Linked DNA regions of Elephas maximus indicus. The protein of the gene in region 1 purifies or fractionates together with the protein of each later gene. This does not show direct contact. Links are inferred from orthologs where the notes say so. Each region holds a gene or a part of one and is shown in the gene's direction. Other genes may lie near its edges.

Region 1 (7,612 bases):
AAAGAAGTCAGCAAGGTCATTGGTGAGATTGGTGGATAAAGGGAATATACATAATAAGGTGCTCGAGTTGGGACTTCTTTCTCATGTTAGATTGACCCTGGGTGTTAGTTTTGTTTTTAACCTGCCGCAAATCAGATCAGCCTGGATCTTTATGTTATGTTATGTTTGATTCTATTTTGGGGGAAGGTGGTGGTGAGTGTAATTCTGTTTTACATTGGTACAAAGTAAACTCGTTGACTTATACCTAAGGGTATTTCTTCATAGCTACTCTTTCTTGTGAAAAAAAGCCTTATTCAAAACTACCATTTCTCAAATTGTGTTTCTTACCATTATTCTGAAATGTGAATTCACTGAAATTGTTTAAGACTTTCGAATGGGTGAAAAGCAGTCGTTGAGCTCTCTCCAAGCCTGCTGCGTTCTGGGTTGCTCCTTTGGGATTCTAGGTCCTTGGCAGGCACAATTTTACCGCGAAGAGCTGTTTAGTGCCACTCAGGCTCCATTCCACTTTTCTCCCTGCAGCTCCAGTTCGTATTTTACAGCTCCCGCCTGGGAGCTGGTAACATAATGAATTGCCTTGACTCTCCCTTCAATCCACTTTCCTCTCTTAATATGCAGCCCAAAGTTTTGCAGCTCGCTGTCAGATGGTAGTGCTAGACTTCCACACTGATCCCAAAGCCTCCGTTTGGGCTGTTTCTTAACACGCAGTTAAAAACTTTAAGAAACAGCTCCAGAAGGAAATCCACGCCAGGCTTTGAACTCTGCTTCTGGCTTCCGTCAACTGACAGAGTTGCCCTTTTGCTCAAACTCGCAGCTCCAGTTTGCACTCGGGAGAGCTCCACTGGGTGTCTGCTGCTTTGCCGCGGCGGGAACGTGTGTGTGGGGGCCACAGTCCGGCGCTCCAGAACCTAACCAAACCCGCACCGGACTCCCTAGGTTTAAAAGCTCTCCCTCCCGAAGGATTGGGGGAAGGAAGGAGGCTTGAGGAGCACAGCCCGATCTTTTGTTCGTTGTTTTGTATTTCAGGCATTTAGGGGAAGCAAACTGTGAGAGAGGAAGGGCTGTCGCCCCGTGCAAACGTTTCCTTCTCTTAGCAAACCCTCCAGGCCTCGTTTCCACATTTTACAGTTGACTGGGTGGATTTTAATAGGTTGTTCCCGGCCCCAATCCACGCACACTGTGCAGCCGGGTAAAATGAGAGCACATCCTCTGCCATTTTCAGCCGGTTTGTACTGGCAGCCCTGCCCCCCTTCCTGGGCTGCCGCAGCCGCTTTAGTTAATGTTGTGCGTTTAGAAACTCCGTCGGATCGTCCAGGCCGTAGATCCAGTCCACATTTGCCAAGTGCCGTGCGGTCGGGATGGTGATAAGAACTCTCTTGTGAGGCAGAGCGAGCGAGACTTTAGTCCGGTTTCCATGTCAACGATTCAGTCCATATTTGCCATCAGGCTGTTGGTGGCAGAGGCGCTTTCGTGAGGGTAGCGCTGTCCTAGTCCTCGTTTTCCAATCTGCGCCGGGATTCCTGAGCTGCCTGGGTGTGGGGTTAAATGGCAGGGGCCGTAGGGGAGAAAACTCCACCGTGGGGAGGACCCACAGCCCTGAGCCGGGGTCTCGCAGCTCGGGCCAGCCACGTGCCCGGCTCCTCCCCTCCCCCCCGTTCCCGCTCCTCTCGCTCCTAGGGAGAGCTGATGGGCCAGTTTCTAAGAAAGTTCTGTTCTGTCCGGCAGTTGCTGGGACGGTGGCGTGGGGCTCTAATGGTAGAAGTGGAAGAGGACCCTAAAAGATTTAAGGTTAAACAAAAGAAGGTGGGAAAGGAGAAATCGCACGTTACCTCACCCAACTCAGGTGGATAAATTTTGTGCACTTAAAAATAAAAAGGGTGGCTGTTTCCAAAACTGCCCACGTGTGGGGAGATGGGTTTTGGTTCTTTCCGTATTTCACAGAAATTGAAGAAAAGATGAGGTCTTCCTATGAAGACGAATCAGTTCTGGCTTCCAGGTTTTCACAGGTTTCCCATTATATCCCAGCTCTGAGGAAAACGGCAGGGTAATTGCACGTAAAAAATTCCTCATTTGTGTGCAAGACCCGGGACTGTTTGCCAGCTCAGTGGCAGTTGATTAAATAACCCAGCTCCACTTTATGAGGCAGCCTATAATTTGGTTTCTAGGACCTGATTCACGAGGAGAGTTGTTGCCCCTCTGTACTGTGAGTGAAACGGGGCACTGGCCCATTCCAGCCAGCCAGATCCTTTTGGTAGGCTGTTTTGGTTCTTGGCTTGGGGAGGTGGTGGAAGGCAGTGGTTTCGTTTTTTTGGATTTGCCCACTCTTAGATTAACAGGAAGGTTTTGCCTTTCTCGTGTAGGATCCTCTAGGTTAGTTTTGTTGGAGGTGGATATGAGTTCAGGCTTTTGTAATTAGTATGTGTCCAGTGAGTGGCCAGAACTCTAGGGAACTGCAGAATCTGGAAGGATATTGGTCTGTGGCCAGGAGATCTCCACTTAGAAAATCTGAGGGAAAAAGAGGCCCTGGTGTGTAAGGAAGACGCTGGCTTGGGCCTCCCAAGGCAGTCGTTGACCTGGTGAGGAGCTGGAATCCCCTCTGGCTCTCCTAGTCTGTCATATCAGAACGTTCCCAGTCAGCTTGAGGAAAAGGCTGCTGCTGGGACACCACCGTTGGAATTTTATATGTATGCCTTTATATTTTCAGAGAACCTGGTCTTATACCCAACTCCAACTAAATTGGGGTCTTAGAATGTATAGGTAAACTTTAAAGATTCTTTATACTGGTGGGGCGGCTAGACAACAAATCTGGGTTGCATCCACTTTCTGCATGACCTGTTAGGCTGTGCCTACGCTCTTTACAGAGAAAATGGTTTCTATCCTTTGGCCATCCCTCTTCTGCAATGGCTTGAACGCTCACATTTCTCTGGTACCCACTGGGAGTCTCTTCCGTGGGCTGTCTAGTCTTAACGTGTGCTGCCTTTGGAGGCTGGGGCTATTGGTTATTGTGGCCCAGACTTTCTTCGGAAGCGACCATAGGGCTTTGGTTCTACTGCTGGGAGTCTGACTGCCATATGCCCCACGGGAACTTCAGTGGCAAGCATTTTAAGTCAACGGTGAGCTGACCAGCTTTGATCTTAAATCCATTCTGATATTCTGATCCCATTGTTGGATTTGCTCACTACTTGACAGTTTTTTTTTTTTTTTTAAGGCTAAGTAGACATGTGGCAGCCTTGGAGACTCCACTTGCTTTTAAAGCCACCCTCCTCTGCCCTCTGACTTTAAGTGACCCAGGGCAGGTCCCCTCCCCTCTCGGTCTTTCAATTCTGTAAAATGGGGATAATCCGGACCCCATGCCCCTAGGGCCTTGTCAGGTCGGGCTAATGAGGGCAGGGAAGTGGGAAAGCGGAAAGTCTGAACAATAATCAGTCATTTCTTTCGGCTTGCAAAGAGAGTAAACTGCAGAGCCTCGTTCGCTCACTCAGCCGGGTCTTTAGAGCAGGTTTGTAAAGGGCTTTGAAGAAAAGTGCTGTAGAGGTGCTAAGTAGCAGCCAAGAGACCAGGCCCGCTGCCAGGGAGTCAAGCCTGGGCCGAGGCGGCCGCGGTCTCGGGCTCAGGCCAATTTTGCAGCCGCGGGTAAAGTTCACGCTGCCCGCTGCTCCCCTCCGTGCGGCCGGGGTACCCGCCAGGATAGGAACTCCGGGAGGGAGGCGGCGCAGGCTCCGGAGAGGCTGGAGCTCCAGGCCGGGTTTTCCCTGAAGCCTTCGGCGGCAGCGCTGCCGAGCGAAAGCGGCAGAGAGCCTGCCGCTGCCGCCACGGCTAGTTCTCTTCCCCTCCTCCTTTGTGAGGGGAAGAGAGCGAGTCCGCTCCGCGGCCTGCGCCCGCTCCGTGCTCCATTCCGGGTTTGCCAGGCGGCCGCGACGGTGCTGGGTAAAATGGCAGTGCTGAGCCTCGTGTCGGAGTGAGGGGGACTCGGAGGAGAGTGGGGCGCTCTAGCCGTTCAGTCGGGCCGTCCGCCTGCTCGCCCGCCCGCTGCCGCGCAGCAGCCTTGGCCACAGCCGCGGCCGGGGAGGGGAGGCAGGGCGTCCGGCCCGGCCAGCGCTCCGACTCTGCCTCCCGGCGCCCGGGCTGCTGCCGCGCGCCCTCCAGCCCGCCCGTCCCGGGTCCCCCTCCCCCCGCTCCCTCCCTCCCCGCCCCCTCCCCCTCGCCTCCCTCCCTCCCTCCCTCCTCCTTTCTCCGGCAGCAGAAAGCGGAGAGTCACAGCGGGGCCAGGCCCTGGGGAGCGAAGCCTCCACCGCCCCCCTCATTCCCAGGCAAGGGCTTGGGGGGAATGAGCCGGGAGAGCCGGGTCCCGAGCCTCCAGAGCCGGGAGCAGCTGAGCCGCCGGCGCCTCGGCCGCCGCCGCCTCCTCCTCCTCCGCCGCCGCCAGCCCGGAGCCTGAGCCGGCGGGGCGGGGGGGAGAGGAGCGAGCGAGCGAGCGCAGCGCAGCAGCGGAGCCCCGCGAGGCCCGCCCGGGCGGGTGGGGAGGGCAGCCCGGGGGACTCGGCCCCGGGGCGGGGTGGGAGGGGGGGAGAAGACGAAGACAGGGCCGGGTCTCTCCGCGGACGAGACAGCGGGGATCATGGCCGCGCAGGTCGCCCCCGCCGCCGCCAGCAGCCTGGGTAACCCGCCGCCGCCGCCCTCGGAGCTGAAGAAAGCGGAGCAGCAGCAGCGGGAGGAGGCGGGGGGCGAGGCGGCAGCGGCCGAGCGCGGGGAAATGAAGGCAGCGGCCGGGCAGGAGAGCGAGGGCCCCGCTGTGGGGCCGCCGCAGCCGCTGGGAAAGGAGCTGCAGGACGGGGCCGAGAGCAATGGGGGTGGCGGCGGCGGTGCCGGCAGCGGCGGGCCCGGCGCGGAGCCGGACCTGAAGAACTCGAACGGGAACGCGGGCCCTAGGCCCGCCCTGAACAATAACCTCACGGAGCCGCCCGGCGGCGGCGGCGGCGGCAGCAGCGACGGGGTGGGGGCGCCTCCTCACTCGGCCGCGGCCGCCTTGCCGCCCCCAGCCTACGGCTTCGGGCAGCCCTACGGTCGGAGTCAGTCCGCCGTCGCCGCCGCCGCCGTCTTCCACCAACAACATGGCGGACAACAAAGCCCTGGCCTGGCAGCGCTGCAGAGCGGCGGCGGCGGCGGGGGCCTGGAGCCCTACGCGGGGCCCCAGCAGAACTCGCACGACCATGGCTTCCCCAACCACCAGTACAACTCCTACTACCCCAACCGCAGCGCCTACCCCCCGCCCCCCCAGGCCTACGCGCTGAGCTCCCCGAGAGGCGGCACTCCGGGCCCCGGCGCGGCGGCGGCCGCCGGCTCCAAGCCGCCTCCCTCCTCCAGCGCCTCGGCCTCCTCGTCGTCTTCGTCCTTCGCTCAGCAGCGCTTCGGGGCCATGGGGGGAGGCGGCCCATCAGCGGCCGGCGGGGGAACCCCCCAGCCTACCGCCACCCCCACCCTCAACCAACTGCTCACGTCGCCCAGCTCGGCCCGGGGCTACCAGGGCTACCCCGGGGGCGACTACGGCGGCGGGCCCCAGGACGGGAGCGCCGGCAAGGGCCCGGCGGACATGGCCTCCCAGTGCTGGGGGGCCGCGGCGGCGGCGGCGGCGGCGGCCGCCTCGGGAGGGGCCCAACAAAGGAGCCACCACGCGCCCATGAGCCCAGGGAGCAGCGGCGGCGGGGGGCAGCCGCTCACCCGGACCCCGCAGGTACACAGCTGAGTGGGGAGGGGGCTGGGGCAAGCAGGGTCCTGGGGGTGGGTGGCGGCAGCGGGGAGCTGGCCACAGCCGTGGGCTCTCCCCAGTCCGGGGCCCCCGTTGCTGGGGAGCTGCCATTGTCTGGCTCTTCTCTCTTAAAATGGCTGCCTGTCTGCCTTCCTCTCTTTCCCTCGTTCAGTCTTTGTGTGGGGCTTTCCCAGAGGTGTCTGCTCCTCTTCTCCTTCTTTTCTGGTCCCTGCGAACTCCGGGGATCTTCAGGGGGTTGCGGAGCAAAGTGTGCGGGGGAAGGGCCCGGCCTGGGGTGAGGGGGTGCTGGGGGCTCAGGTTAGGGGTGTAGTTGGTGGCAGGGGCTCGCGAGTTGAACAAACAGTTCTTTGCTCACCTGCCGCTTTTCTCTGACCCCCTGGCTTCCTCTAGGCTGTTGCCCATCTGTGCTTTTAAAGAGGGGCCCCTCGGACTCGTGGGGACCTCGAGGGAGGGCAGGGGCCTGCTTGGGGGCAGGTAGAGGCCGGCTGCGGTTCACCCAGGGCAGCCTGGGCCGTGTTCTGTCTTAGTCTCCTTCGGCCCAGTGGCCTGGGCTTCTCCCTGGAAGTGCTGGTAAACAGCTGAGTGATTGGAGTAGTAAGTGCAGATTGCTTTGGTTTGGGATTTGAATTATGGAGGTAAAATCCTTCTGTCAAAGCCAGGAGACAGTTGGTCTTAGGTTGACATCCTATCTGTGATCTGATTGGCTCCCCATCTCCTGCTCTTGGCCATTTATAATTGCCTCTGATGTAATGGTACAACAATCCTGATGAGCTCATAAACTTTTACACTCTGCTTTTCTGCCAGTGATAACCCAAACCATCGCTGCCACTATCTGTCTTTTATTCCAGAGCTGAAATTGGCTGTGACCTTGAGGAGGGAGGTTTAAGCAGCAATACTGTATCAGCAAGAGCAGAGCCTCAGACAGGCTGCCCTTGTTACATTGTGCCAGAAACAAAAGAGGAGGCAATGGCATTTTGCTTGTACCTTGGATTTATTTTGCTTGTTATGTTTTATGCAGCCTGAAATAGATTCTGTGTTGTTAGAACAGTAGCTGAGTTTTTCTCTACAATGGGTTTGCTGTTTGTTTTGGTTTTGTGACTTTCCCGATGGTATAAATGACTTCTTTGATGGCTCTGAAGATGCATTTGTCTTAGAGTAATTTTGACTCTGTTCGCTTCGAAGAATTGAAATTATTTTACTTAGCTTTTTATTGAGTGGTGAATGTGGGATCTTTTTGGGGGGGAGGGTGGAAGAAAACTTTTATTTTTATTTTTTGGAGAACTGGAAGGTTTCTGAGAATTTCATATTAGGTTCAAGTGTTCTGTTTTAAGGAAGGCGGGCCCTATTCTTTGTTTACATGTTGAATCTTGTTAACGCTTTCTTTTGTTAATTGAACTTTGGGTGAGCAGCTCAGTTTAAAGGGAAGGGACTATCTGTCTTTCATGATTGTGAGAGGGACTTTCTCCTAAAATTCGTGGTTTGGTAAAATTTTTCGTTTACTCTTGGAATATCAAAAGGCTGGCTTTTTATTTTGCCATCAATCATTTTAGAGCTCAGCCAATTTTTTCTTTGCATTCTAAGGTATGTTCCTTTTTTTTCGGTCTTCTAGTTTTTTAGTATACAAAGAGATGACCTACAGTGATGCTTAAAGATTTGGTTAGATATTACAACTTCTAGTTACCTTTTTATACATTCTATTTTATTTTGCTCTTTTTCGGTCTTCATAATGCTTTGTTTTTAAGGCTTTGGTCAGGAATATAGGGTACTCTGTGGACCCATGTGTCTTTTCAAAGAGGGGCAAAACTCCCTTCACACACCCTCCTCCCCCAGCAGTAGCCACTTGTACCT
Region 2 (7,513 bases), on another chromosome or scaffold:
TGTAGATGCAACAGGATCAAGACGGAAAGGTTATGGGAAAGCCCTTTCTCTAGACTGGAAGGCCTCAATAAAAGTTGTTGAAACGGATCTCCAAAAAGTGGGCAGTGAGCAGACTAAGTATGGAGGGAAGAAGGGGAAGAGAGAAAAAGGCATTCCTTGCTGAGGGAACAAAGGCATGGAATGATGCCTCCATGACTGCAATGTCTAATAACGAGCTGCATAATTAAGTCCTATGAGGGTGGGTGTGTCTCTTCCCCCATCTCTATCTATTCTTTAGCCTTAACTCAGTGCTTTTTTCACAAGATCTTGAATTGTCCTGAGGTGAGACAGCAGATTCCATTTGCCTATTAGGTAACCACTAATAGCATCTCCTTCAAACCAAAGGGCTCCAGGAAACCTTGTCTGATTAATCAGGACCTACTAATCAACTTATTTTTCTCTGATTCCGGATGACACTAGCTTGAACACTATTTATTTGCAAGTAATAACAGACTCAGCTACCAACAAGAGGTAATAAATTTTGCGTAGTGGTTAAGTGCCTAGGTTGTGGATGCTAGAGCATTTATATGACATTCTGGCAAAGGCAACGCTACAGAGACAAATCAGATCAGTGGTTGCCAAGGGCTGCGGATGGGGATAGGGGACTCTATTGCCCTCAAAGGGATATGAAGGAACTTGCAATGATGGAAATGTCATTTATCTTGATTGTGATGGTAGTTATATGACTGTACTCATTTCTTCAAACTTAAAAAAACTACACCTAAAAAGGTTGATCTTACCATGTGTAAATTTTGCATGTGAAAGTTGAACAATGAATAAGGAAGACCAAGGAAGAATTGATGCCTTTGAATTATGGTGTTGTGAAGAATATTGAATATACCATGGATTGCCAGAAGAACGAACAAGTCTGTCTTGGAAGAAGTACGGCCAGAATGTTCCTTAGAAACAAGGATGGCAAGACTTCATCTTCATACTTTTGACATGTTATCAAGAGGGAACTGTTCCTGGAAAAGGACATTATGCTTGGTAAAGCGAGGGTTAGCAAAAAAGAGGAAGACCGTCTACCTGATGAATTGACACGGTGGCTGCAATAGTGGGCTCAAACATAGCAACGATTGTGAGGATGGCGCAGGATGAGGCAGTGTTTTGTTCTTTTGAACACAGACAGGGTCACTATGAACTGGAACCAACTCGATGGCACCTGACAACAACAACACATCATATATAGTATGTATCTCATATACATTGTAAGGATTAAAAAGGTAATATGTGCAGGCACATGGTAAATGCTTAACAAATGTTAGCTATTTTTTTATTTTCAGAATTGACTTGACAGCAACAGGTTTGGTTTTGGGTTATTTTCTGCCTACCCTACGGGAAATCTTTCTTAATCTCTATCATGCCTTAGATATCGGTATTTTCCCCCTAATATCTTGAAGATATTTTCATCACAATAATTAAGTTATTCTTGACATTATCTGTTTATCATTCTCTCCCACTACACTCATAGCTCATTTATTCATTCCTAAATATGAGTTGAATAGGTTACAACAGTGATGAAGAGAGGCACAGTTCCTGCCTTCACAGAGTTTATATTTTAGTGGGGGAACCAGATCAGACAGTAAGCTAACCAAAAAACCCATTGCTGTTGAACTGATTCTGACTCATAGCAACCCTACAGGACAGCAGAACTGCCCCATAGGGTTTCCAAGGCTGTAATCTTTATGGAAGCAGACTGCCACATCTTTCTCCCGTGGGTTCTAACTACCAACCTTTCGGCAAGCAGCTGAAATCACTATGCCACCAGGGCTACTTGACAATAAATTGCGTACACATAAGTAAGTAATTACATATTGTGATAATCACTTGACAGGAAGTAAAGGAAGTAAGGGAGACAGTGGAAAAGCTAGAATGAGCTGGGGGCAGAAGGCTCTGAGGCGGGAAGGGGCTTGCAGTTTGAAAAACTGCAGGGAGACCATCTTCTTGTTGGCCCTTAGAAAGCCAATGGCTGAGATTTAAAATGTGCCAAAGAGGTAAGCAAGTGCCATGTCCTTGTAGAACACTTATATGTCATGAAAGGGAGGGTGACATTCAATCTAACAGCAATGATGAGCTGGGAAGGATATTAAACGAGGGATTAGTAGGGTCTGGTTTACACTGAACTGTTTTATCTGTTTTTAAGTGCACATACTAGCAGCCTCTTTTCCAAAGCAGTAGTTCTCTAGAAGGGGGGTTGTATCAGAAATAACTGGAAGGCTTATTCTTAAAATACAGTACAGGGAGTCCCCCCTTCCTTACTGGATTTGAAGAAGGGGGCTGGTAGGAATATTCTTGGAACAGCTCCCCTGGCGATTTTGATTCTCTACCACCCCTACCACTTCCTTGAGAACTCCTGCTGAAGGAGCTTAGAAGGGTTGAAATGGATGTTAACTGCCTTATCATGACCTCTTTACCCATCTTACAGGTGAGGGGAAGAGACCACTGCTCAATGAATGTAACAATTCTGGTGACCTGTCCCTAGACTGCCAAAGCCCTGGCGATGCAGTGTTTCAGCACAGTGGTTCAGCCTGGCTGCTAACTGAAAGGCTGGTGGTTCGAACCCACCTGTCGCTCCGTGAGAGAGATGTGGCAGTCTGTTTCCATAAAGACTTACAGCCTTGGAAACCCACTGGCGTAGTTCTACTCTGTCTTTATGGTTGCTATGAGTCAGAATCAATTTGACAGCGATGAGCTTTTTTTGGTCCCTAGACTGGCAGGTAAACTGACTTTTGAGGAGGAAGAGGAAACTGAGAGGACCAAGAGGTAGCAAAGCAGCAGCAATAGCAGGGTTTATCACTGGAAGAAAGATACAAGGAGGTACATATCAGGAAAACTAATTTCTAAAAAGGACTGGAGGGCTGTGCTATAAACAAGCTCTAGGGTGCTATGGTACAAGGAGGTAAGCAATCACTTGCTTGGGGATGAAAACATAAAGCAGAGGATTAGGGCCAAATAGGCCAAACAGTCTTTTACTTTGGCCACTCAAAGTGTGGTCTGAGTAGCAACAGCATCGCTTGAGAATTTGTTAGAAATACAGAATCTTGGGCCCCACTCCAGACCTTGTTGTTGTTAGATGCCATCAAGTTGATTTTGACTTATGGCAACCCCATGTGACAGAGTAGAACTGCTCCATAGGGTTTCCTAGGCTGTAATTTTTAGGCGTCAGGAGAAAGATGTGGCAGTCAGCTTCCCTAAAGATTAAAACCAAAAACCAAACCCATTGCTGACCAGTCAATCCAGACTCATAGTGACCCTACAGGACAGAGTAGAACTGCCCCATAAGGTTTCCAAGGAGCAGCTGGTGGATTTGAACTGCTGACCTTCTGGTTAGCAGCTGAGCCCTTAACCACTGCACCACCAAGGCTCCTCTCTAAAGATTACAGCCTTGGAAACCCTACGGGGCAATTCTACACTGTCCTATATGGTGGCTATAAGTCGGAATCGACTGGACAGCAATGGATTTGGGTTTTTGGTTAATCTTTACAGGAGCAGATTGCCAGGTCCCTCTCCCAGAGCCACTGAGTAAGTTCAAACCACCAACCTTTCAGGTAGCAGCCAAGTACTTAAAACTGTTGCACCATCAGGGCTATTGAATCATAATCAACATTTTTAATGTGAGCCTTAGGTGTCCTGTATGCTCATAAAAGCTTGTGAAGCACTGGTCTGTATTAGGGGAGGAGACCTCAGATCACCTAAGGTAAGCTACCTGGATTTTTGAAAAATGAAGTGCTATAACTACTGGAGAAACACCTTATTTAACTGCAGGGAGATTTTTCATAGTCCAAATTTTCTTCACCTAGAAAAACTTCATGTGAAGTCAAGTACTGGGCTTCCTTAAAGTGAGGCAAAGCCATGTTAAAAATGCACGAGAAGAATTTAGCAATTAGCCAAGTCGACCCTTAACACAGCTGGGTCGGGTCTGGAACCGCTGATGTCCTTTGGCAGCTCTGAGCCACCAGGAAGAGCTTTATAAGAAAGCCGAGTTGGCAGCTGTTCTGCCCCAGAGAGCAGCCCTTATTTGTCTTTAATGCTGAAAATGTAAAAAGGATATCTGACAAAACTACGTAAAGTCTGGCGGCTACACCAGAGAGAGAGCAGCAACTACCCCAGTCAGTGTGGCGGCCCCATGTAACCTTCGACTTCTGACCCCGAGCCTTGCTTGGCGTTTCCGGGCTAAGCTTCCTCTCCCGCCCCTCCGGCGAAGGGCCGGCCCTAGCATTGTGGGCGGGGCCTGGGGGGGGCCGGCAGTTAGGGGCGGTGCCTGCTAGGGGCGGGTCTCGCGAGGGGCGGGATTTGAGGAGGCATCCTAGCATTGGGCAGCTAGAGGTAGGCGGGGCCTACTGCAGGGCTGGGTTGGGCGGGGCAGGGAGCTAGTTGCAGCCTCTGGGTAAGCTGGGCGCCGGCGGCTCAACTTGCCGCGGCTCGGGGGCGGCGGGCGGGCGCGTAGCAGATCCCGGATCCGGAATTTGCACGACAGGAGCGGAATCAGGATTGGCCCTAGCCCAAACCGGGTCAGTGAGCAACTCCCGAACTTGGATTAGGAAATCCCGGAACCCGGATCAGCAAACCCCAGAACTCGGATTGGCAGAACCCGGAATTTAGATCGGAAAGTCCCGGAGCACGGAGCACGGACCGGATTCGTCGCGAAGCCCGGAGTCCGGATCGCGACACCGCCGGACGGGACGGAGCGATGTCGGGTCGTGGCGCGGGCGGGTTCCCGCTGCCCCCGCTGAGCCCCGGCGGCAGCGCCGTGGCCGCGGCCCTGGGGGCGCCACCTCCCCCCGCGGGACCCGGCATGCTGCCCGGACCGGCGCTCAGGGGACCAGGGCCGGCTGGAGGCGTGGGGGGCCCCGCGGCCGCCGCCTTCCGCCCCATGGGGCCCGCGGGGCCCGCAGCGCCGTACCAGGTAAGGCGGTGGCTGGGCGGGCGGAGCCGCGAGGGCGCCCCGGGCAGGGACAGAGCGGGCGCGCGGGTAGAGGCCCTGGGAGTGCCTCCTGGGCAGAGGGCATAGTCCCTGCACGGGGTCTCATGGGATATGTGGAAGACAAAACCAGGGACCCTCAGGGTGCAGCCGGGAGGTGGTGGAGGAGTTGGGGGAAAAGGGTAAGAGGGTCTCTGGGGTGGAGGGTTTGAAGCAGTTCGGAGGGTCTGGGGGTCCCGTGGGGGCTGGGATTCTGAGTGAGATATAGGAGTCGTAGGAGCTAGTGAATGTGTGGCTCTGAGAAATCTGGCGTAGATCCTGGGTTGGGGTCCTGGGAAGTGACGAGAAAGTTTTGGAAAAGGGGAGCCTCAAGGGCCCTCACTGAGAAATCAGGGTTTTGCTGCATTGACCTCGTCCCACCCCAAGTCTACCCTGGTTTTTCTAGTCCGGAACTGGGAGAGTTTAGCATGCCCTGTCCTGTTGGCTGGCTGCGTTCTTAGATGGCTCCCAGCTGCTTAAGAGGAAGAAGAGCCTGGCTTCCCAGAGCGTGGGAGGCTGAGGACAGAGCAAGGGGATTCCACTTAATGGGGTGACTGAGTTAGAGCAGAGACCGTGGTGGTCAGGCTGAGGAAGAAAAGCCTAGCCCCGTGACAGACCGTTCCGGCCGTTCTCTTCTTGGCTTTGTGCCTGTTGTCATAGTGTCCAGGAGTTGATTAGTCTGGAGGAGCAGGGAAGCTCCACTGAGCCCTGCTGGTCTGGGGTGGAAGGAGCTGGGAGAGTCACTTCGAAGGACCCTACTGTCCTGACCCCTTTGGAGTTTGTGAGGAGAGCTCCAAAGGCTTTGAGAGGCACAGACTGGATCCTCAGGGTCAGTGTGTGAGGAACTCTGCCTGACCCTGCTGGTGGGACTCAACAGTCCCCTTGTCCCGTCCGTTGTTTCAGGTGGCCCCAGAATGCTTGAGAATTGTCCGTCCTTTTTACCCCTTCTCCATTTTCATTTAGCCTTAAGGGTCTCATACCACCATATCCCAGCCCGTGTGCCCCAGCATTTGGCACAGGCTTCTTACTAATCTCCCAAGGTCTACACTGGGACTTCCTTTGACCCCTCCTCATGTCACCTGGGAGAGGTCCTGGAAGTGGTCCCTCATGGGGTAGGATGTGTGCAGAGCCGTCACTTTCTAAAGAAATAGTTAACGGGGGACAGTGATTTTTTTTTTTCCTCTTATGCTCTGTCTCTTTCTCTCCTCTCCCAAAAGAAAACAGAAGGTGTGAATATGGACAGAGATTGACCTGGCCCCAAGGCCTCCAGCTGGAGTCCATCTTTCCCACCTTGCCCTCCCCTTTGGGGATTCATGGGCCCAAGTGTCCCTGAGGGGTCTCCACATGGACCATTATAGCCCTTGGGCCTGTTAGCTGAGACCTGGACTGTGAGTCTCTCTGTGAGCCTTAGGCCTGGGGAGACCTGAAATCGGAGAGGAGACTGTTCAGCTCCCTTGGCATGCACCCCATGGGAAATGTGCCCTTAGGAAAGCCCCTTCTAGGATTGATCCCACAAGGTTTTGTGGGGAGTGGCCGTGGTACTGCAGCAAGGCCGAGGTGGCTGGCCGAGTGGCCTGGGCTTTATGGTGGGGAACTAGGGGAAGGCACCGACCCTCTGCTTCCCAAGGCTTCCCATCCCATCCGTAGATGTGGAGAGGGAGAATCCAGCTCACTTTGGTGAGTTTGGAAGTAGGAGGATCTGCTTGCCCTCTTTCTAAGGGGGGTGGTTTGACTCCCGGATCTGAGGAGCAAGAGCAGTTCCTGTCTATGAGGGCTCGTTAGGTGAGGTGGAAGAGCAGACATTCGAGGGCCTGAGCTAGGCAAATTAGGGGAGCCAACGGAAAAGAGGGGCGTGATGAACCAGCTCCCTCTAGACACTGGTTCGAACAGTCAGCGGAGGAGCTTCAAAACACCAGAAAATCAGAAGTGCACACATACGCGTATGCTCCCACCTGTGCACGCACGCAGGCACCACGAATTGCTGGGTTTATTCTGGAGAATTTAGAATACTTGCTGCTCATGGGGAATATGTTCTCCTCTAACTGAGGCCCAGCCACCAGGAGTGTCGGGGCCACAGGCTTGGGGCAGTGAAGAACGTGCTCTCTTGAGGTCTGGATTCCTCAGCTGGAGGCCCACAGCATCAGGCCCAGCCTTCTGCCCCTGCTGTCCTGGTGGTGGTGGTGGTGGTGGTGGAGCCAAGCTTACAATATGGCCTGTGCTGGGCCAAAGAGGGGAGGTTACTGCATGCTTCTGAGGGTCAGGGGACTGAGTCAAGCCCACCTAGCTGGGCTGCAGGCTGCATAATCTGGAATGCCAAGAGCTGAGAGTTCTGGGCTTTTTTTTTTTTTTTTTTTAATTCCTGGGTTATTTTTTTGAAGGGGGAGGAGTTACTGATGCTTCAAAGGCTAGCTGTGGAGCTTGGCAGGGCCAAGCTGGGGCTTCATGAACTGTGAGCTGCCTTCCCCTGGGCCCCTCCCCTCCTGGGAGAAGCCTGGGCCCTGGATGAGCCGGGGC
Region 3 (7,119 bases), on another chromosome or scaffold:
CCCAGCCCTCCCCGCAGGAGGCAGGGGACGTGGACATCTGGAGGACTCCAGAGGCTGGCCCTGCCCGCAACGGGCTGACCCCCCAGTCCGGGGCAGAGGAGCCCTTCCTGTCCCATGCCAGCTCCCTGCTCTCCCTGCACGTGGACCTGGGGCCCTCCATCCTGGATGATGTGCTCCAGATCATGGACCAGGACCAGGACCTGGACCGCGTACAGATCCCCACGTAGCACCTGCAGCCAGGCCGGGCAGATTCAGGGCAGTGTGTGGACACAGCCCTGGCCTAGGAGGCAGACCCCAGGTCCCACCTGTTTGGTGGTGGCCGTGGTTTCTCACTTTGAGCCTTTGTTTCTCTCCCTCCATCCTCATCCATGGGCAGAGTGCCCACATGGCTTCCCCCTAACAGCCCACCAAGGACATGGGCAAGAGGCGCCGGCCCAAACAGCCCTGAACCCCCCGACAATGGCTCTTCCTCTCCTCAGACTCCTTGGGTAAAGGCTGTGCTGAAGAGAACTCCCCTTCTCACCTCCTTTCTGCTCAGTCCAGTGGGGTGTCCTGACTGGTGGGGGGAGGTGGGGGTGAGGAAGGCAGGGCTCAGCCAGGTGGAGGTTTGGGACCTTTGGCTTCACATCTTAGTCCGGGGGCATCACAGCAGTGACTGAAGGTGTCCTGCTTAGTCCCCTTCCACATGACTGGGGGATTCTGGTTGTAATAAAACTTGGTGCTGCTGGTGGCTGTCTTCCCATGCCTTGTCCCGTTTGTCTTAGGTTTCCTCCTGAAGCTGGGCCACTGTCTGCACTGCGAACTCACCCTGCAGGGGACCCCAGTCCGAGAGGCCTTTGTGGGGATTAGGCCCTGGCTGTAGTGAGGATGGAGCAGGAACAGACCAAGTGACCAACTGTGGCCGTTCCCACATTGGTTGGGTGCTGGCTGGTGTGGGCTGGGCTTGGGGCTGGTCGTGCCCAGGCAGCCAGGGTCTGTTGGAGGAGACCCAAGGGTAAGACGAAGCACAAAGGCTGTACAGGGGACTCTCAGGGAGATTCTCTGGCATCAGGGGGCTGGGGAGCATGCAGGAGTGGGGGACAGACCTGGCCGTGTTGCCCATCAGCTGGAGCCACAGCTGTTTACTGAGCATCCACCATGTGCCAGGTGTGGCTCCAGGTGCTGGGGTACAAGACAGACTAGATCCCTGCTCTCTTGGAGCTGACATTCCAGCGTGGGAGGAGGTTGATAACGTTTGTAAACAGGTAAGATGATTTCCAACAATGGTGGATGCTATGAAGAAAACAGTGTGATGAAGAAAACAGCTGGGACCAGTGCCGTGGTGTCAGGGCACATAAAGGTGATCAGATGTGATTCTGTGATCTCCGGGCCGCTCTTCACTGGCCTGGGTGGTGCCTTTTTGAAACCTAGTCTGACTGTTCTTTCCTGCTTCAAATCCTTTGGGAGCTCCCCCATTGCCTCAGCTTCAGCCTTGCAAGCAAAACTGCTCTAAGGTGATTTGAACCACTTTTCCAACATCAGAGTCCTGCCTTTCTGGAGCCCCAAGTCACACACCACAACCATTTTGGAACAGTGATCTCTAATTTTCTCAATAACCCTGTGAGGTGGGTATCTTTAGCTCCATTTTACAGAAGTTAAAACTCAGTCTCACATAGTCAGACTCCAAGGTCAGTGCTATTTCTGTCACATAGCAGTTCCTCACCATCATTTACTCTGGTACCTCAGTGCCCTGGTAAAGTTTGTGAAGGCAAAGGGTTAGGGAGCTGAAGGCCCAGCACCTTCTTGCCTGCAAGCTCCTCCTCAGTGCTTGGGCGTTTGTTCTCTTCTGCCTTGGAAGGGAAAGACAAGAAAAAGAGACACTTCCTTATTGCTGCACCCACCCTGAAGGCACCACCTCACCCTGGAGCTGAGCTGAGGCCAGAGTAGCCACAGAAGGAGGACATTTCTGTGCTGGGTCCCCCTGGACCTCTCTCGATCCACCTTACATCAGGCACCAGCCAAAGGACCCCGGGAACCACTTAGGGCTGTGACATGGGGTGGATAAAGAACTAGGGAGGGGACCTGAAGCACCTGACTGAACTTGGACTACCAGCTTACTCCAAGGTAGCCAGGGGTAGGGAGAAAAGGGACTGTACCTCTTCAGCTTTTATAATGGGGTTCAGGTACCGTGTCCCCAAAATAGGAAGAAAAGTTGTTGGACAGCCAGAAAAATTACCAGTGTTTCTAAGGGTCTACTGTTATGGATATTCAACTTCCATGCATGTCTTATATTAGTGTTTACTCTTAAAATACATACAAATGTTGTTAGGTACTATTGAGTCGATTTCCCACTCAGAGTGACCCCATGTGACCAAGTTGAACTGTCCCACAGGGTTTCCTAGGCTGTAATCTTTATGGAAGCAGATTGCCAGGTCTTTCTTCCATGGACCAGATGAGTGGGTTCAAACCACTGACCACTGAACCATTGTGCCAACAGGGTTCCTTATACATGCACCCTAAGGAGCCCTGGTGGCGCAACGGTTAAGTAATTCTAAAGTTCCTTACCACCAACATACCCTATGTACAAGAGTGAATGGAGGATGAAAATACATAAAAAATATATTTGACACAGCGAGAAAAAAACACACGTAGAAGCTACAGACTTTTTCTACAAGGAAGCTGTAGCTGGTATGAATAACTCCCCTCCTTCATGGCCCAGAACATGTTCCGTTGGCTTTCAGCCAGTATCTTGGCTGGTCAGGGTTCTTTACAAGGAGATGTGTCCCAGACCTCATTTTGGACCACCCAGGTAGCCTGATCAGGGCTGCAAGTCCGAGGAAGTTGGAGTCCCAACTTAGTGTGTGTGTGTCTAGGAGGGGGCCGGGGATCTGATTTCCTACCTTGGACAGACTCTGCGTTTTGATTTTTGTCCCTGTCCCCAAAGACTGCCAACCAGTAGCTAAATTTCACAGTCATAGCTTCCAGATTAGCAAATGCCCGCAGGGCAAACTGTGCCTAGGGTTTCCAAAGCTGTAATCTTTACAGAAGCAGACTGCCACATCTTTCTCTTGAGGAGTGGCTGGTGGGTTTGAACTACCAACCTTTGGGTTAGCAGCCCAGCACTTAACCACTGCACCACCAGGGCTCCTTCTTGACAGTCTTGGCTACTAATTTAAAAAGATCCTTATTGTGCTCCCCAGCCCCGGGTGGACGCATTCCTTCCTTGGGTCCTGTTAGTTGCCCTGGAGTTGATTCCCACTATGGCAACCCATGTGTGCAGAGAACTGCTCCATAGGGTTTTCAAGGCTGTGACCTTTTGGAAGCAGATCGTCAGGCCTGACTTTCTAGGTGCCTCCGGGTGGGTTTGAATCGCCAACCTTTCAGCTAGTAGTGGCACTCAACCATTCATGCCACCCAGGGGCTCCTTGGATCCTGAAGGCTCTAAACCAGACAGAGCCCAGCCCAGAGATGCAGAAACAGAAAACATTTTGCAAAAGGGTCCATTAGTTGAGAATGCCAGAGGCTGCACCTCCCACTTCCACTCCTTGGTTCCCATATCCACGTATTCAGTGCAGTTCGGTGGGTAGGTTTGGTGGCAGGAAGATGAGGTAACTTTTGTCGCCCTCCCTTCCCCTTCCTTTCCTTTCCCTAAAATGGGCACAAGTGGGCTGTGCACCACTCTCACCTTCCATACCACCAATCCCCATCTATGAGTAAAGGCACAAGGGTTAACCACGTGGTTAAAGACGCATGCGCTCCCACCAGACCATCCCTGGAACACTGGCTGTTCTCGCCAACATTTTTGCCTTCTCATTTCTGTGTGGGGCAGATCCTTCCTCCCTCCTCCCGCTCCTCCAAATGGAAGAGGCGGGACTAGAACAGGTGCAGCGGGGCGCGCGCCCGTCCCCGGTCGCGCCTGCGCGTCGGGCTGCCTTTGGCTCCCTCACACCTTTCCTGCCCGACGCCCGCTAACGGGCACGGAGGTTACTTTCCAGCGCTCGCTCTCGAGCGCGCGCGCCCGGGCGGCGCCTGCGCAGAGGGACGAGGAAACGCACTCCCTGGCGCGGCCCCGGCGCCTGCGCGCTGCGGGCTCCGGGGCCTCCCGGCCTGAGGGAGAGGAGCAGGGAAGATGGCGGCCGTGGTGGAAAATGTAGTGAAGCTGTGAGTGGTCCTTTCTTTCTCTGCGAGCCCGGGAGGTCTTGTGAGAGGCCTGGGAGTGGGGGCGGTGCGGGAAGGGAACGAGGCGAAGGCAGAGCCAGGCCCGGGAAGGCCGTGGTGCGACTCCTAGCGGGGAGGGCAACAGGAGGCTCCGGAGGAGACGTTGCGCTTCTTTGGAAACTTGTGGAGGCCCGGAGGGGGCAGGCGGGAGCCCCCAACGGCCCTCCCTGCGAGGTTGGTGGCCTGAGCGCTCCCTCAGGACCTGCGACACCCCGAGTATGGCGCCCTTGCCGCCTGCGGAAGACACGCCATCCCGGGTCCCCTCCCGAGACGCCTCAGTCGGAGGAGCGGGGCCGACCGTTTCCCCGCAGCCGGCCCGGAGCAACAGGCTCGGAGCCTGTGCGGGGAAGGGCTGCGGGGCCCAGTGTCCCAGCCGCCCGGGACGGCGGGGGGCGCGCTGTCAGGGACCCCAGACTCCAGCTCTCCTTGGGAGGAATCTGTGGAGAAGCAGCTCCGGAAGAGAAAGCGCTTAAGAGGAGCGGGCCTTTGTGCCGGCCTGTCCCGGCCGTCAAAACATCGGGGACTGAACGGAAGCAGTCCCGACAACTTCATGTATCCTGGAGGGACGTCTAGGTCTGCATTCCTGGTCCTAGACGATACCGCTGTGCTGGGCGGATTTCAGGCAGAGTTCAGAGTTAGAGGTGTCGGAAAAACGGAGAATGGCCTGTTAGTTGCTTCCTGTGAATTTAAAGATGCTTTGGGACTTGGTTTGACCGCAGCTCCTCCCAGAAGAAGGATTCGAGTGAGTTTTGAGATGGCTTAATACCCCGTGGGCCAGTGTCGTTGTTAGGTACCAGTCCAGTCGATTCCCACTCATAGCGACCCCATGTGACAGAGTAAAACTGCCACATAAGGTTTTCTAGGCTGTAACCTGTAATCTTTAGGGGAGCAGATCGCCAGGTTGGGTAGGTTCGAAGCATCAACCTTTCAACCTTTCACTTAGTAGCCCAGCGCTTAACCATTGCGCCACCAGGGCTCTCTTGTGGGCCAGTAGGGCAAGTTTTTTTTAACGGGCTTGGTGCAGGCAGAGGAAGATTAAGAGGTAGCTGTCCAGCCAGGGCTTTAGGTTTTGGCTGGTGAAAAGGCGAAGGTTGGGGGACTATTCTAAGGGCTTCACAGCTTCTCATCTGTCATTGAGTCCTGCTCTTCCCCAGAGCCTTCTATAAGGGTACATTGCGTCTTCCCCCTGCCTGGAGCCTTTTCTGTGAGAATGCTTTCCCGCTTGCATTAAGCTAAGTGCCTTCTCTTGTGGGTTTTTTTTTTTTTTTTTAACTAGCTTTCTGCTCTATCCTGCTGCCTCTTTCAGCCGCCCCTCCTCCCAGCACCATTATCTTCCTCTCTGATCTGCCCACTCCAGTTTCCCCTCTGCCGTCTTCTCAGGCTGACATTTTCCTCAATTTGGGAATGACAATGTTGATCTACCATTTCTATAGTTATCTTTCCTGACTCAAATGTTCTTTGTTTCCCCTGCTCTTCCCATGGTTAACTCCCCCCATCCTATTGTGAGGGGAGGTTTTCTACTGGTTTAACGCATCCCTGAGAAAGAATCAAGGCTGCCACCTAGAGAACCTTACTGTACTGAGGAAATGTCAGGCTTGCCTAGGTTTTAAGAGTTATAAGTAATGAGGGTCTTCATGCTAGAAGACTTTCTTCAGGGAAATAGCAGGTAGTTGGTAAGGGGTGCCTTGCCCATTTTAAATACAACGTGACTTTTTATTTCTCTTTAAAGAACTGAGGAGATTGTGAGGGTCACCAGCCCCTGGTTGCTGAGTACCAATAATGAGGAACCACCTATGTCCTCCTTAGTTCTAGCTGCAGAGGACTCTGGACCACACTTGATACATTCCAGGCAGAACTCTCTCTTTCAGAAGGGGCATCCATTCTGCCTGTACCATTCTCACCCTGGAAAGAGCTGCTTTTCTGGTGCTTCTCTTGATTGTGGTATGCCTGTCTTCTGACAGCTGAGGTTATACCTTGAGGTCAGGACTTCTTATTTCCTGGCTTACATCTTGTCCTGGGAGAAGAGTTCTTCAATTAGTAAATTCTCTGTCCCTCCCAAATATGGGGTCAGAAGTGAAACCATCTCTAAGGGGTCTTACCAGAGTAAGATAAAAACTGATTGCCATCAAGTCAATTCTGACTCATAGCGACCCTGTAGAACAGAGTAGAACTGCCTCATGGGGTTCTAAGGCTGCAGTCTTCATGGAAGCAGACCGCCATATCTTTCTTCTGCAGAGCAGCTTGTGCGTTTGATCTGCCGACCTTTCAGTTATCAGCCAAGTGCTTTAACCACTGCACTGCCAGGGCTCCTTCCAGGGTGAAACCAAACCCATTGTCGTCGAGTCAGTTCTGACTCATGATGACCCTGTAGGACAGAGTAGAACTGCCCCATAGGGCTTTCAGGGGGCATCTGGTGGTAAGATAGTAGCATAAAATAGCTGTGGCTGCTGACTGGTTTTAACAAGATCTGGAGAATAATATTTGATTGGAATTTCTTGCTACAGCAGCCTCGAGTTCTTAAGCTCTATCTCCTCCCTTGCTCAGTCCTCATCAGACTTCCCCCTTCACATGCTTCGTTTCCAGCCCTCTTACCCACCACAGCAGTTTGCCCACCTTCTGAAATGCCACTTAACTCCCAAAAGCTTTTACAGAACTTCTCTCATCCATTCCCCCAGTCCACTTCCAGCCTCCTTGCTCTTGACTTTGCAGCCCTCAGCCAGTCTGGTTCTTCCTTCCATTTGGCTTCCCAGTGTCAGTATCAATTCCCATCAGCAGAAACAAAGGAGCTGCTGCGCTCAGCCTTGTTTATCCAGTTTTCCTCTGTGTAGTGAGGACATGGCTGCCTCCTAAAGGCGAGCAAATGTGAGCCTCTCCCATCTCTGCTCTCCAACCCAAGATTTGTTCCTGCCTCAAATTACAGTA

Evidence for each region.
Region 2: the proteins of ARID1A (region 1) and SMARCD2 purify together in Homo sapiens (affinity purification with mass spectrometry; 7 studies listed by BioGRID and IntAct, with this or other methods). This does not show direct contact. The link is inferred for Elephas maximus indicus from reciprocal best matches to the Homo sapiens genes ARID1A and SMARCD2.
Region 3: the proteins of ARID1A (region 1) and DPF2 purify together in Homo sapiens (affinity purification with mass spectrometry; 6 studies listed by BioGRID and IntAct, counting the BioPlex papers as one, with this or other methods). This does not show direct contact. The link is inferred for Elephas maximus indicus from reciprocal best matches to the Homo sapiens genes ARID1A and DPF2.

Annotation. Positions count from the first base shown.
Region 1 is NC_064821.1:67,143,618-67,151,229, forward strand, and holds the start of ARID1A (AT-rich interactive domain-containing protein 1A), read left to right. Parts: upstream 1-4,564; 5' UTR 4,565-4,615; coding exon 4,616-5,728; intron 5,729-7,612. UniProt on the Homo sapiens protein: Involved in transcriptional activation and repression of select genes by chromatin remodeling (alteration of DNA-nucleosome topology).
Region 2 is NC_064837.1:55,038,655-55,046,167, reverse strand, and holds the start of SMARCD2 (SWI/SNF-related matrix-associated actin-dependent regulator of chromatin subfamily D member 2), read left to right. Parts: upstream 1-4,425; 5' UTR 4,426-4,729; coding exon 4,730-4,945; intron 4,946-7,513. UniProt on the Homo sapiens protein: Involved in transcriptional activation and repression of select genes by chromatin remodeling (alteration of DNA-nucleosome topology).
Region 3 is NC_064825.1:128,496,185-128,503,303, forward strand, and holds the start of DPF2 (zinc finger protein ubi-d4), read left to right. Parts: upstream 1-4,031; 5' UTR 4,032-4,108; coding exon 4,109-4,140; intron 4,141-7,119. Other genes in the region: CDC42EP2 (cdc42 effector protein 2), read left to right, coding at 1-227. UniProt on the Homo sapiens protein: Plays an active role in transcriptional regulation by binding modified histones H3 and H4. Is a negative regulator of myeloid differentiation of hematopoietic progenitor cells. Might also have a role in the development and maturation of lymphoid cells.